Drosophila melanogaster: one gene and its partner. Changing the gene in region 2 together with the main gene of any one other region gives a genetic interaction. Each region holds a gene or a part of one and is shown on either strand. Other genes may lie near its edges.

Region 1 (4,878 bases), about 15 Mb from region 2:
GGGGGAGTTGTGCCAAAGAAGCATGGTGTGCAACTAAAGTTGGCCGTCGGTTCGCAGTTTCTACCCGACAATCAAATGGCCAACGACTCCCAGCCACCCTTCTCCACCCTCCTGTCATCCCCTTTGAAAGCCCCAGGCCTCTGTAAAAAGGGACTTTGAATGGGCTGTTTGGCAGCAACGATTGCGTGTTCCGTTTGCCAGGTTTGAGGGAGACACATCGTTGGCATCGAGTGTTTGGGGAGATTCTCGGGTATATTGCACATTGCAGTCCGCAAATCCCTCCCTGCTTTCTGGATGATTCAGACATGTCCTTATAAAAAAAGAGTGAAAAAGGGCAGAAAGAATACAAGCAGAAAGGAGATAGCTACAAAACGGGTGAGCAACTGGGGAGGGCAGGGTACAAAAAAACAGAAATTCTTTTAAAAAAAGTCCCTAGTTGGTAATGCATTACTACAACATTGGAGGAAACCACTACTTTGGAAATCCCGCTTAAAACACACAGAACTTTGCCGACAGTTTTTTTTTTACTGAAAATGTGGGTTATATTGCAACCAACTGCTAGCATTTTTCACAAAGAAAAATGATCCAATATTAAAGTTACACGAAGCAAAAGGTATTAAAACGCTTTAGCAGTAGTTGTCCCAAGCAGGGTGGGAATGGTGGGTGCAAGCGACATAAGTAATCAACGACCACCACAAAAATGACGTCGGCGATGCGTGCCCCTGATAACAACGAAGCTGAAGGGTGGACCTGTGGGTGAGTGGCTGACCAGGTCCAGGCTAGTCCTGCCATGAATTGCACGCAGCGACGGTCTAGCATGAATAGCCGAATTAAGGGTAAGATGGGTGGAGAGTGAATGAACGAATGGAGAGCAAAGCAAATTGCAGGCTGCATACAAAGCAAGACATGAAAGGAGTGCAATGCGCTATAAAGCAGCTTAACTGCTCCCCTGTCCGGGATTGGGCCGAACTCCTGGCTCCTGGGTCCTTGGAGGTGCTGCCCCTCGGTTCTTCTCTTTCAATTGGTCTGTCTCCACATGAATATGGATTTTATTAGGTTTTTGTTCCGCCACAGAAGACTGTTCGCTCTGCGTTGCCAAGGGAAAATTGCTCCGAGGTATTTAAGAGACAAGAAAGTAAAGCAAAATTGTTAAGGTCAGGCACGTCGGCGATTGTGGATCGGCCCCAAAGAACGAGAGCTGCCGCCTGGCAAAAATTGTTTGCAAATGATTTAAAAACACTTTAGCTAAAGCTAACAATATCCTAGTAACGCATGTCTTCCCTTTTGGTTTGTCGGTAGGTGTGTGCGTGCACGTATGCCAGTCGATGAATTGACCTGAACAAGAGGATTCGTGGTGAATGCAGGTCCAGCCCCAGACCAATTTGGGGATTATGCTCAGACAGAGCCGGATAGTTTTTAGCCGGACTTAAACCCCAACCGAAGGACGCATAACCCGGCCCCGCACTCCATTTCTACGATATTTGCCAGTCGCTGCGTGTAGAAAATCAAAATCAAAATGTCTGCACGCCCTGTTTGGTTTCGGTAACACCTCCGCTACTTTTATATGCAAATTGCTAGTCGAAGCCAGCTGCTGCTATCCTCTAGCCTCAAGTTTTCGGTTTTCGGCTTTCAGTTGGCCAGTAGCCAGCGACAAGCAAACGGTTCAATTAAGCCAATACTTGCGCACACTCGCAAGTAATTTGGCAGCCCTATCACCCATCCCCATCCCATCCCCATCCCATACCCATCCCCAATCTCCAATCCCCAATCCCCAATCCCCAATCCCCAACCCTTTCCCGCCTTCAAGCCCTCGAGCCTTTAGTGCCGCTGCTAAGCGATGGCACATTTTTCGTAGCATACTTTGCGCGGCTGCTTAGCCGACGGCCACCACATCCCACAGAAACCCGCTCAAGTGCTTGTGTGCTTGTGTATCTGGCTCTCTGTGTGTGTGCGAGAGTGTGGGTGCCTGTGTGTGTGGGTTGCGGTTGCGATTGGTATTGCTGTTGCACGCAGAAAGTATAGAGCCACACTGCTATTTTGTGAGCCGTACTCAAGTTATACATAAGTTGGGTGTTGTGTCAGTAAGCCAGATGAGGCAGTAGCGCAACAACACAAGTCCCTAATTGCTGGAGACCTACTTGTCTTCCCCGGACACCGAATTAATATTGTTTTGACTTCTATCAGCTTCAATGCGTGGCTAACATCGAGCGTCGAGTTGTCTGTTTAAATCAATTTGTCATCCCGATTAAAGCCCTAACGAAACAATGTTTTAGTGTGCAGTTTTGCCCAGTTTCCCAGTGTTCTCTGTCAGTTTCATTTTCGGTTTGTGTTTCTGTTCTGAGTTTCGGCTCTTTCGACTTACTCCTTCGTTCCATCGAGTATTGTATCGAAAGTGGAGTGAAATGGTCTGGTGTGCTGTGGTGTGTTGTGGTGTGCTGTAGTGTGGTGTGTTGTTATGTCGTGTGGTGTGGTGTAGTGTGGTGTGGTGGGGATTCGGTGACTCACCTGAACCTGAGCAGTGCCAATGGCCAGGACGACCCAGAGGCTCCTCAGCAACAAATTACGACGCAGCGCGGCGCACATTGTTCGCACTCTTTTCTGCTTCTTTGCTCCTCGTCTGGTTGGCTCCTGGTCCTATCTCCTGGCTGGGAATCTCCGAGTTTGGTCTGAACTTAGCTGCTTCTGCGGCTGGACTGACGTGCTTCCAGTTCTGGTTAATTGTATTTGCTTTGTTGGCTATTCGTTTAACACTTTGCTGCACAGGCGGACGACGGTAGCAGCAGCAAGAAATCGAAAACACAAAAAAATTTCATTAGCAAGCGATTCGGAATTGTGGCCTTTCGTTTCAGCCTTTAACTTTCTGGGTTCTGGGTTATGATTTCTGTTTTCTGATTTCTGCGCTCTAAGGTTCGTACTCCGATTTCGTTCGATTTGCGGTGCCCAAGTTAGCTGCCCACAGCGCAGCGCTTTTCCTTTCGCCGATGCCCAGAAACCTATGCACGGAAAATGTCAACTCGGAAAACTCTGTGCGTGTGGCTTGTATGTGAGTGGCCGTAGTATTCGATTGTGGAACGTAGTAGGAGAGAGTCCGTGATGGGCGGGGGCGGATAAGGGAATTGAAGGAAAAGGAAGAAAAGAAAAATAAGGCAAAGCTACGAGAGTACTCGCTGCTATCTGTCCTGTCATACCCACTCGCTGGTTCTCGGGGTCCTGAGATTGTACTTCCCCGAAACGGAAAATATGAGTGGCACTATGGCCGCCGTTCTGCGCCTGGAAAAGTTGTCAGCTGCAGTCGTCGGGTTCCACGTCCCATGTCACTTGTCCATGTCTCCTGTCTCCTGTCTTGGCAGTTCCCACGCAAATCCACCCACTCGCTAACCCCTTCCCGCACTCTTGGAACGTATCCGTCGGGCTTCTGCGCACTTTCCCAACCCCTTTCTCACTGATTCTGCGCAGGTGCGCTGCTTATTGTCCCCCAGCTAAGTTGGCATCACAAATCCACTATTGGCATCGGCTTCGCTTTTTCTTTCCGAACTTGTATCACTTTGTTTTGGATGTTTCTCTATGGTTTTTGTTGTTGGGTTTCTTTTTTAGCACTATTTAGCACTTGAACAGCAAAAAAAAGTATTGAGCTTGTTTTGGTTAAATTTGACGGTCTCTCAATGTGTGTCTCTGGTTTTGTGCTTGTGGCTCCTCGGCCACCACCTCTCCGCCCGAGCGGGAGAACGACAAGAGCCACTGGCCAGCAGCCCCTGGCCTTCCCAAGCTGTCGGGGAGTGGTCAGATGGGGTGGCCCGAAGAAGCCCCTAAAGCGCTGAGTTTTTGGAGCCCTGGCTGTACGCTATACCTGGCGCTGCGAACGCTCACAAACGACTGCGAGTGGTCTCGTTGCCTGCAATCCTGCGAGTCCACGTCCGAAAGTGCGAACTGCGAAAGTCGAACTCGGGCGCAGAATGCAGAGCGCGTGCCCGGGATCGATATTAAGGGCGAATCGAGCAACTGGCCTTCCGCTTTCCGCGGGGGTGACAATGTTTTTGGCTGTCCGGGCTGCACTATGGTACCAGTGCTTCCAGTGGTAGTGGTATTAGCGGAACAAGCAGGACAGAAGTGACTAGGGAGAACTGGTTCCGCGGGCGAACCAAGAGTGTCTGGCGGAGTGCTTGTTAGTTAGTTTACATGCACACCGCTAGGTGGAAACTCCCAAGGGAATTTCGCACAGGTCACCGTCTTCAAAAGGCTGTCCTATGCACGAGTTTTTATAAACCACTAAACTTAATTCAAATTTGTTTTCCTCGATGGATTCAAGAGTTTATATACTTTTTCTAATGGTGAAGCCAATCTGCACTAGATGGCGTCGATATGTAAGATGTAAGATGTAAGATGTAAGATGTAAGATATGACCAAATCCAAGTTTCCCACCACCAACCACCCAATTTCCTATCCACATCACTTATTGCTTGGCCCTTAGCCAAGTTGCAAACCACTTTCGACATTATTTAACATGTTCATTTTTTCCTTCCCAGCGACTGGCAACTCTGTGCCGCACAGCTGATCTTCTTACCGGCTACAAATTAGATTTCTTACATTTGTTTATTTACGCCGCCTCCTACTTGCTAGGCCTCAGGAAAGCATAAACCTAGGAACGGAGCCTGGTACAGACACGGAGCTATACACCTACAACAACGCACATTTCACCTAGTTGCGCAACGCACTTAGCCGGCTGGCGTGGCAGTGCACGGTAAGCTGAAACGTACGTGGCAATGAATATGAAATCGAGCTTGCAGGAACATTGAACCAACGAGCGTGTAGCACTAGACCCTAATTCCAATACCAACTCCTTATTTCACCAAGATGACGGCCACGTTGCGTTACCGCGGC
Region 2 (8,132 bases):
AATTGAATTGTTAAGATCCAAACGATTTGGTTGATAACGATGCACAGATTCCGTATCTGGATGCGAAAAAGGGATATATAACTTGTATACAAAGTTATATACAAAAATGATTGTATATGGTGAACGTGTCGCGAATTTTTTTCATTTTATGATACTGATACTTAATTTAGAGCTCACCTTCCTTTTCTTGCTCTGTTCGTTTTCATCCAGCGATGAGGTGGATTGCACGTACTCGTTAATATCAAAGAGCGGCTCGTTATCGTTTGGACCTGTGTCATCATCCAGGAGAGGTCCAGTTTTGAGATTATAAATGTTTGGCAGCTGGAACACCTTTTCCCGGTTCACCATATTGACCTGTGATGGATAAAACGATACTATATGCATATTTCTGTCAAATTCGAGATTTCTAGCAGATAGCACACCTTCATGTGAAGGCATTGTAGCACCACGCATTCCCCGCTAAGGACAAAATAGACATAGCTCATGGTACCCAAGTCTTCGGTGTAGATCGTCTCCAAGGGCTCGAATTGCTGAATTGTTCCATACTTACTGGCATTTACAATCTTACAAACAAGTTATATTATAATTTCTTTTTATCTACTATTATACTTACCTGTTCTTCGTTGAGAAAGTCAAAATAGTCAAGGGCCCGCAGAGCATCCTTCTTTTCCTGCCACATCTTTTGCATAAACGGTAGAAGAACAATTTTATAGTTCGTATTGAATATAGCCAGGAGTTCGCAATAAGCTGAAAGAATCAAATGCGATTAGGTGTCAAGAAACAAACGAATCGATTTACTTGTGGCGATATAAGTGTTGGTTCTGGGTGTATCTTCCATCACGTCAATATCACCAATGCAATCCCCGGGTCCAAAAATGGCCTCCGTTTGTACGGTAGGACGACTGGAGCCCTAAGAAATATACCATTTTTCAAATAAAAAAGCATATATATTTAATAAGGCATAATTGAAAAATTGTAGCTATAACTATGCAAAGCATATTAGAAAGTATTATATATAATTTGAATAGTTTACCTTTTTATATATGTTCTTAGACATTTCCACCTCACCGGCGATTATAAAATAAATGGTTACGGGAAAATCCTCCTCCTTCATAACAATACGCCCGGGAGATATTGCCATGAATTTGACAATCGGAACAAGACGGGCGCGGACTTTCTAAAAGGGGTAACAGGTCGGATAAGTAATATTATACATATGTACAAATGATCAGCGCGCTACTCACTGGCGGAAATTTTGAAAAGCAAGCCAGATTTGCCACAATGGTGCAGAGCTTTTTCCTCTCATCGACGGAACGCTTAGCATGTGGAGTGCGCAGCAGCGATTTCTCCTGCAATTAAGCAAACACAAAAAGGAATAAACTCTTGAGCTAGCCTTGATATGAAAGAAGAGGTTCGTTGGACTTACGGCCATGGTCATCATGCCCACTTTGCGCTTCTGTCGCAGCATGGCAACGTTCTTCTTCACATTCAGCGATATTCCACCCTCCTCGGGCAGCTCACTTAGCCACTGCATATTCAGTATCACGGATCGGATGAGCTTCTTAAACCGAATCTTGGCTATTTTCTTTCCAGCGCCATCGTGAACATCGCGTTGGCGCTTGGACATGATTATGCCTTCTAAATCCCACTGATGTCGAACTGTTCAGTTCAGAGTATTGTGTCCATATAATAGTATTCGAATGACAAAGATTCGGGCTGCCGCCTGCTGTCTAAATAAGCTTGAAAATATGAAAATATATAAACTTAATTTTACCCCATTTCAGATTTTGACGGCTAACGGTTTTCGTGCGCACAAAAAACATGTGTTATTTTCAAAGTGTTTAAATCATCTTTTGTAATTTCAACACATATTAGCTTTTCATTTAAGAAATGTACATTCAAATGCTGAATAAATATTATTTGCGTTTGTTTTTTCTTTAAAATATTATATCTTAAATTGGCTTATCGTTTATAATCGATTTCTTATTCGAGCTGTACTCTCTGGCGCTATCTTGACGCACATACATTCGTCCGATAAGTTGGGTGTGTGGTATATTTCGATGATTCACTACGTTCACACTGCGCACAATTGAATTCTGTGGCTATCGGTACGGAAGAAATTTTAGTTCGTTTTAAATATGCAATTGTTATGAATAACACAAGTTGAGCAAATAAAAGACGGCAATTCCCAGCAGCGCGATTTGTTTTTTTAGCTCGGTGCTGCAGTGCAATGTAAAGTATATAGAGGAAAATATTTACACATGCGCATTAACCGATTAATGTTCTGTGTAAATGGTTTTATTTTTTTTTTTTTTGTATTTTTTGTTACCCATATGAGAGAGAATTAAATGGTTGTGCTAATGATTCATTTACAAAGGAATCACAAACCGAACACAGCCCAGAAATTGTGAATCAAATGGGCAGTAATTACCCCGCTTGAGAGGAGTATGATAAAGACGGCGACGGTGATGACGATGTTGATGATGATGAGATGGTGTTGATGATGATGATGATATGATGACTCTTCGGGTCGTGTATGTATGAAGAAAAGAACCGAATGAATTTTTTTGTGTTCGGCTCGTTTGGCAAAAAGGGCTTAGCCTAAAGTTTGTGTGTGGTGTGCGGCTCATATAAATCGCTTGTGTTTTAGATAGATGTTGATGTACAAGAGGGTGCAGCATATTCCTATATATATACCAATGTACATAAAGTATATATACGGTGTTACAATTCATAAGTAACTTGTACTTTCATACAACTCGAAATATCCTAAAAATGTCTGCGCATATGTAAGAAAGTCAGTCGCCCGGCGATTTCAAAGAGCAATATGTACATATGTACAGTGGCTCACAGCTTAATTCGTCCAGAGGTAAATGTTTATTTAATAATTCGATGAAAAACCGTTTAAAATATCAAAGAAATGGAATAGACAATTTTCCTTATCCATACACATTGAAAACGTATAGAATCAATATACAGATTCTAAGATGAAAATCTTTATAGAAGAAACAACTTAAAGATCTTAAAGTTGTATGGTTTTTTGTTGTCTAAGCTGTGGGTTCACTACACTCCTATATTACTGACTGAAACAATCACAATTGATTTGTTATCTGTAAAAGTAAACAAAGCGCAAACAGCTGATGGATGTGCTGTCCATCTTATCTTTCATTTAGTTTACTGCGAAGTCTACGTCGTTAATTGCTTTTAAATATGGTTTTGGATATAAAGTAGCATTGTCTCTATATTCTAATTAATAAACCCGGTTTCTGGTGCTGGTTGTAATCGGTTGTAATAGCGCCTATTAGTAAATTTCTTGTTTTACCAATAGGCTTAGGTTTAATCGTATTTAGTGTAGGTGTGATGTATTCTTGCCCCACAATTTTGCATACGTTGTTAAATTATTTGTTAGATCCTCAACTTTCGTAACATTGGACCCGAATTTTGTTTTGGACACTTATAGCGAATCTATTCCAATTTGTTTTTGTGAGATTACCACCACCGATATGGCAAAGAAAATGATTTCACGGTAAGCCCCGAATTCCGAATTATTTTCCATTATCTATATTTAATAGCATTAGAAAGCGGAAACTAGAACTAACAAATCTCTCGGGGCGTTTTTAGTGAATGGTTTTAGACATATCTTGGTTTAGTTAAGCATTTGATTCTATTAGTGACTCTCTAATCTGATTTCTGATTTTTATCAAATATGATTTTCGTATTGTAATCAAAGTAAGGCAGCTAAGTGTTTTTATCTGGTCTTCTTACAGTTTAGCACGGAAAACCCCACACAGTCACAAAAGTTAACGTATCTCCTCAGTTAAACGCATTCTTATCATTGCTATATGTGGCTTTTATTAAATCGAATTCCACTCGAAGTTAAATATAGACTAAGACTCGCATTTGCTGAACAGAGATCATAAGCCTAACAATGGCGGACCTAATACATTTGGGAAACATTGATGTTGTCATCCAGAAAGATAAGCCCGGATCGCCAACGGGCTGTTCGGATGATGGGAATCTTGCGGGGCTGGGTGGCATGACCGGATTGGGTGGCATAATGGCACCTGGCGGCATCGACTTGGGTGACTTGGCTCAGGAATTGGATCACGATGAATTCGATGGACCACATATGCTGAATGGTAAGTAAAGTTACATGCCCATACATTGTAGTTCGATCGATAACTAATTTTCCTTGCAAACTCCAAACGCAGGTGAACGTCCAGCGATTATTGCTCCTCCGGAAAGCGAATGGTACCATGGACGACTCGATCGCTACTCTGCAGAGTCTCGCCTACGCGGAAGCAGTAAACTGGGCAGCTATTTAGGTGTGTATAAGATGGTATTCGAAGGTGAGAAAGTATTACTAAATAAATACCTTTGTGTTCTTTTTTTAATGCTGAGCAGTTCGCGAAAGTGACCGCAAACCTGGCTCCTATGTTCTGAGTTATTATGGCCGCACCGGCATAAATCATTTTCGGTAAGTAATAGGTTAAGATACCCATTAAATGCCATTGTTTTGAATGATTTTTTATATATGTATGTTGTATCGTTAACATAGGATTACAGCTGTGTGCGGAGACTTCTATATCGGAGGACGACAATTCATTTCCTTAAGCGACTTGGTTGGTTACTATACCTCATGTAGTGATCTACTGAAACGCGAACGCTTGGCCATACCAGTTGCTCCGCCGGAGCCAGTTAATGATAAGAAACGCGTCGTAGCCATCCTGCCTTACACAAAAATGCCAGAGACCGATGAACTGAGTTTCCAGAAAGGTGATATCTTTTTTGTACACAATGACATGGGCGATGGCTGGTTGTGGGTGACTGCCCATCGTACGGGCGAGCAGGGAATGATATTCAGAGAACTTGTTGACGATCTGGATGTATCTATCGATCCAAATACGGTGTTTCCCTGGTTCCATCCCAACTGCACCAAAAACGAAGCCGTCGATATGTTGGTTAAAGGTGTGTATTATTAGTTTAAGGTACCTACAAGTAAGGAAAGCAAGCTTTCCCGAGATTCACGAGATGAATCCTTAGAATTTTGAGCTTCTTCTAGTGACGCCTACAATCGATATTTTCGACTTTTCTCTGTTGCTATATGTATGTAATTGAAACACATTTTTTCATCCTAACAGCTGGACCAGGAAGTTTCCTCGTTCGCCCAAGTGACAACTCACCGGGGGATTACTCTCTATTCTTTCATATAAACAATCAAATCCAACGCTTTCGTATTGAAAAGAAAGGCGTGCGCTATTTAATGGGCGGTCGTACATTCGAATGCTTGGATGCGGTTATAAATCGATATCGCAAAGAGCAAATTGTGGAGGGCCACTCACTGAACCATCCAGTTGTCAATGGCATTCAGCCCGAGTTCAATCAGCAATATGTTGTGGAAAAGGCCGCTGAAAAGATCTACGCAACATTGCGCGAGTGTCGTGACCAAATCGGTCTCAAAAAGATCAAGGGAATCAAACATCACGGCCATTTGAACAAGAAGTCGGACAAAACGACGAAATGGAAGCAACTCTATTTCGCTTTAATCAACGATGGTTCCGAGACGCAACTATGCTTCTACGACAATCCGAAGAAGACCAAACCGAAGGGTCTGATCGATTTGTCCTGTGCTTACCTCTATCAATGTCACGATTCGCTGTGGGAGCGTCCCTATTGCTTCCAAATTGTCGAAAGGGCCCTGCCATGCTTGGCCACAGTGACGTATCTGTGTGCTCCTAGTCAGGAAAGCTACGTGGAGTGGATTAATTCGCTCAAGGCACAATGCGATTCCCAGCTGAGTCGTGCCCAGAAGAAGGTATCACGCCTTCGTGAGCTTCGTTGTCTTAATCTGCATGTGCTGGAAGCTCATCGATTACCATTTAAACTAGTGCCACATCCATACTGCAGTATTTCCCTCAATCAAGTCAAAGTGGGCAAAACTCGTGTCAAAATTGCACCCGAACCCGTTTGGGAAGAGGAGTTTGTGCTAGAGTAAGTCTACCATTCCTTCGCCTATTTGATAACTTATCGAATAATATATGTTTGTAACTTGCTTGCTTGCAGCGATGTTCCGCCAGATGTTGTCTCCCTAACCATAACATTAATATCGCGCGGCAAACGCGGTAAGGACTCCGAAGTGGCTGAGCTAACCATTGACTTGTCTAGTCTAAAGAATGGCCAGGAAACCGAGGGCTGGTACCAACTCACTGGCATGACGCCGATGGGTGAATGGGGCTCGCTACGATTGCGTATGCGCTACCTCGACGATCTGATAATGCCGTGTGAAGAGTACAGTCCTCTGCAGCAATTGCTCCTCGAATCGGAGCTGTATGCTGTGAAGGCGCTGGCTGAATTGTGCCATAATGATCGGGTTCCTTTGGCCACGGCTCTGTTGCGAGTCTTTAGGCAGGAGAAACGGGAAACGGAACTAATTCGAATGCTGTGCCAAGCGGAGGTGACGCGCGAAAACGAAACCACAACGCTTTTCCGTGGCGCATCCTTGGCCACCACCCTAATGGATCTATATATGCGCACCGAATGCAGCGGCTTCCTGCAATCGGCCGTCAGCGAAACCGTGCAGCGCATTTTGGAGAGCAAGCAGTCGGCTGAATTGAATCCCACGAAAATGGACGTCAACGATGATGCCTGTACGAATGCCGAGTTTCTATTGCAAATCCTCGATCTGGTCACCCAGTCGATATTCACTTCACCGGACGCCTGTCCACGCAACGTGCGTTTCATTTGCAGCTGTCTTCAGAAGGCTGTGATGGCCAAATGGCCGACAGAGCGGCTCGTTCGCACACGCGTCGTCTCTGGCTTTATATTCTTGCGCCTTCTGTGCCCAGCGCTGCTCAATCCACGCCAATTTGGATTGGTCAGCGAGACGCCACCGATGGCAGCAACACGATCTTTGGTCATGGTCGCCAAGTGTCTGCAGAATCTGGCCAACTTGATTGAATTCGGCGGCAAGGTGCGTATCGATTCGACTCAGTTATGTGATTACCAAAATAAATTCGATTTCTTTTTCATTTTTAGGAACAATACATGGAGGTTGTCAATCCGTTTATCTTGAAGAACAAGGAGCGTATGATTGTTTTCTTGGATCAACTGTCCTCGGTGAACGATCCGAACCAACCGCTTGGAATGTTTGTCGAACAAAGTACAAATCTGAATTCACAAGACACTGGTAATTATTTGTCAGCTCATGTTTTCTATTTGGCGCTGTTATATTATTAAATATACAATGATTTCTTTTATAATTCCTGCAGGACGCGAGCTGGCTACCTTGCATCACATCTGCGTATCTCATTCGCAAGAACTGCACGAGCTATCCAACATACTTTCAATTAAGAAGCTGGTCACAGTGACGGACATGCTGACCAAACACAAGCTGAAGTATCGCGAGATGATCAGCTAAAATCAATTGCGAGGAGAGCGGATAATAAAAAAAAGCGATGTCTTCTTATCTACAAGTCCCTTCATACCTTTTTATAAAAATATTTATATGTGTATACTATTAGAATACATAAAATAAGAACTCAAAATAACTGGTTGAATTGTATTGGAATAGTAAACAGCATCTCATTTATAAAATTATTTATATGGAAATGAAATAATATTTAACAGACCGGTATGCATTTATTTATTATTATTATTACAAATTAAAAATAACCTATAATACACTAGCTTACACGGATTACTCCGTATAGCCGCAAACTCAGATATTCAAAATGGTTTTGCTTTCGATATTGTTTAAAATTTATTAGTGCATTACCAACGTCAAATGGCAGTTGGCGTCCAAATGCACGGCATTTATCCAAAAGTCAATACATTTTTTTTTGAAATAACGCATAAAATCGAAATAAATTAAAGAATTCAAAAAGAGTGCAAAAGACTTCCTCTGAAAACATACACTGTGTTTTTGAATGGCTCCCTTTCGGTTTCTTGCAGCTGAAAAATGTTTTTTTTTCGAATTTCTTCGCACTTAAAGGCGTTGCAATGGGCATGGAAAAGTCAATAGTCAGCTGAATTTAATATAAATACATATATTCTTCAAAGGAAACAACAGTTTTGCGTTTATATTTGCAGTTTCGCATCTGATTTCTTATTTTAAGTGTATAAAATCATATTCA

Evidence for each region.
Region 1: of vap (region 2) and Appl, changing one suppresses a phenotype caused by changing the other (phenotypic suppression), as found in Drosophila melanogaster (one study listed by BioGRID).

Annotation. Positions count from the first base shown.
Region 1 is NC_004354.4:529,504-534,381, reverse strand, and holds the start of Appl (beta amyloid protein precursor-like), read right to left. Parts: upstream 3,213-4,878; 5' UTR 3,193-3,212; intron 2,756-3,192; 5' UTR 2,584-2,755; coding exon 2,506-2,583; intron 1-2,505. Other genes in the region: CG4293 (uncharacterized protein), read left to right, coding at 4,852-4,878. UniProt on the Drosophila melanogaster protein: During development, plays a role in the regulation of the neddylation pathway. Appl and APP-BP1 interact antagonistically during development.
Region 2 is NC_004354.4:15,999,722-16,007,853, reverse strand, and holds vap (vacuolar peduncle), read left to right. Parts: upstream 1-2,041; 5' UTR 2,042-2,869; intron 2,870-3,409; exon of another isoform or gene 3,410-3,526; intron 3,527-3,767; 5' UTR 3,768-3,928; coding exon 3,929-4,139; intron 4,140-4,211; coding exon 4,212-4,325; intron 4,326-4,404; coding exon 4,405-4,477; intron 4,478-4,558; coding exon 4,559-4,968; intron 4,969-5,141; coding exon 5,142-5,991; intron 5,992-6,063; coding exon 6,064-6,970; intron 6,971-7,035; coding exon 7,036-7,186; intron 7,187-7,268; coding exon 7,269-7,417; 3' UTR 7,418-7,903; downstream 7,904-8,132. Other genes in the region: CG12698 (uncharacterized protein), read right to left, coding at 178-354, 423-563, 614-747, 799-910, 1,034-1,177, 1,245-1,349, 1,427-1,627.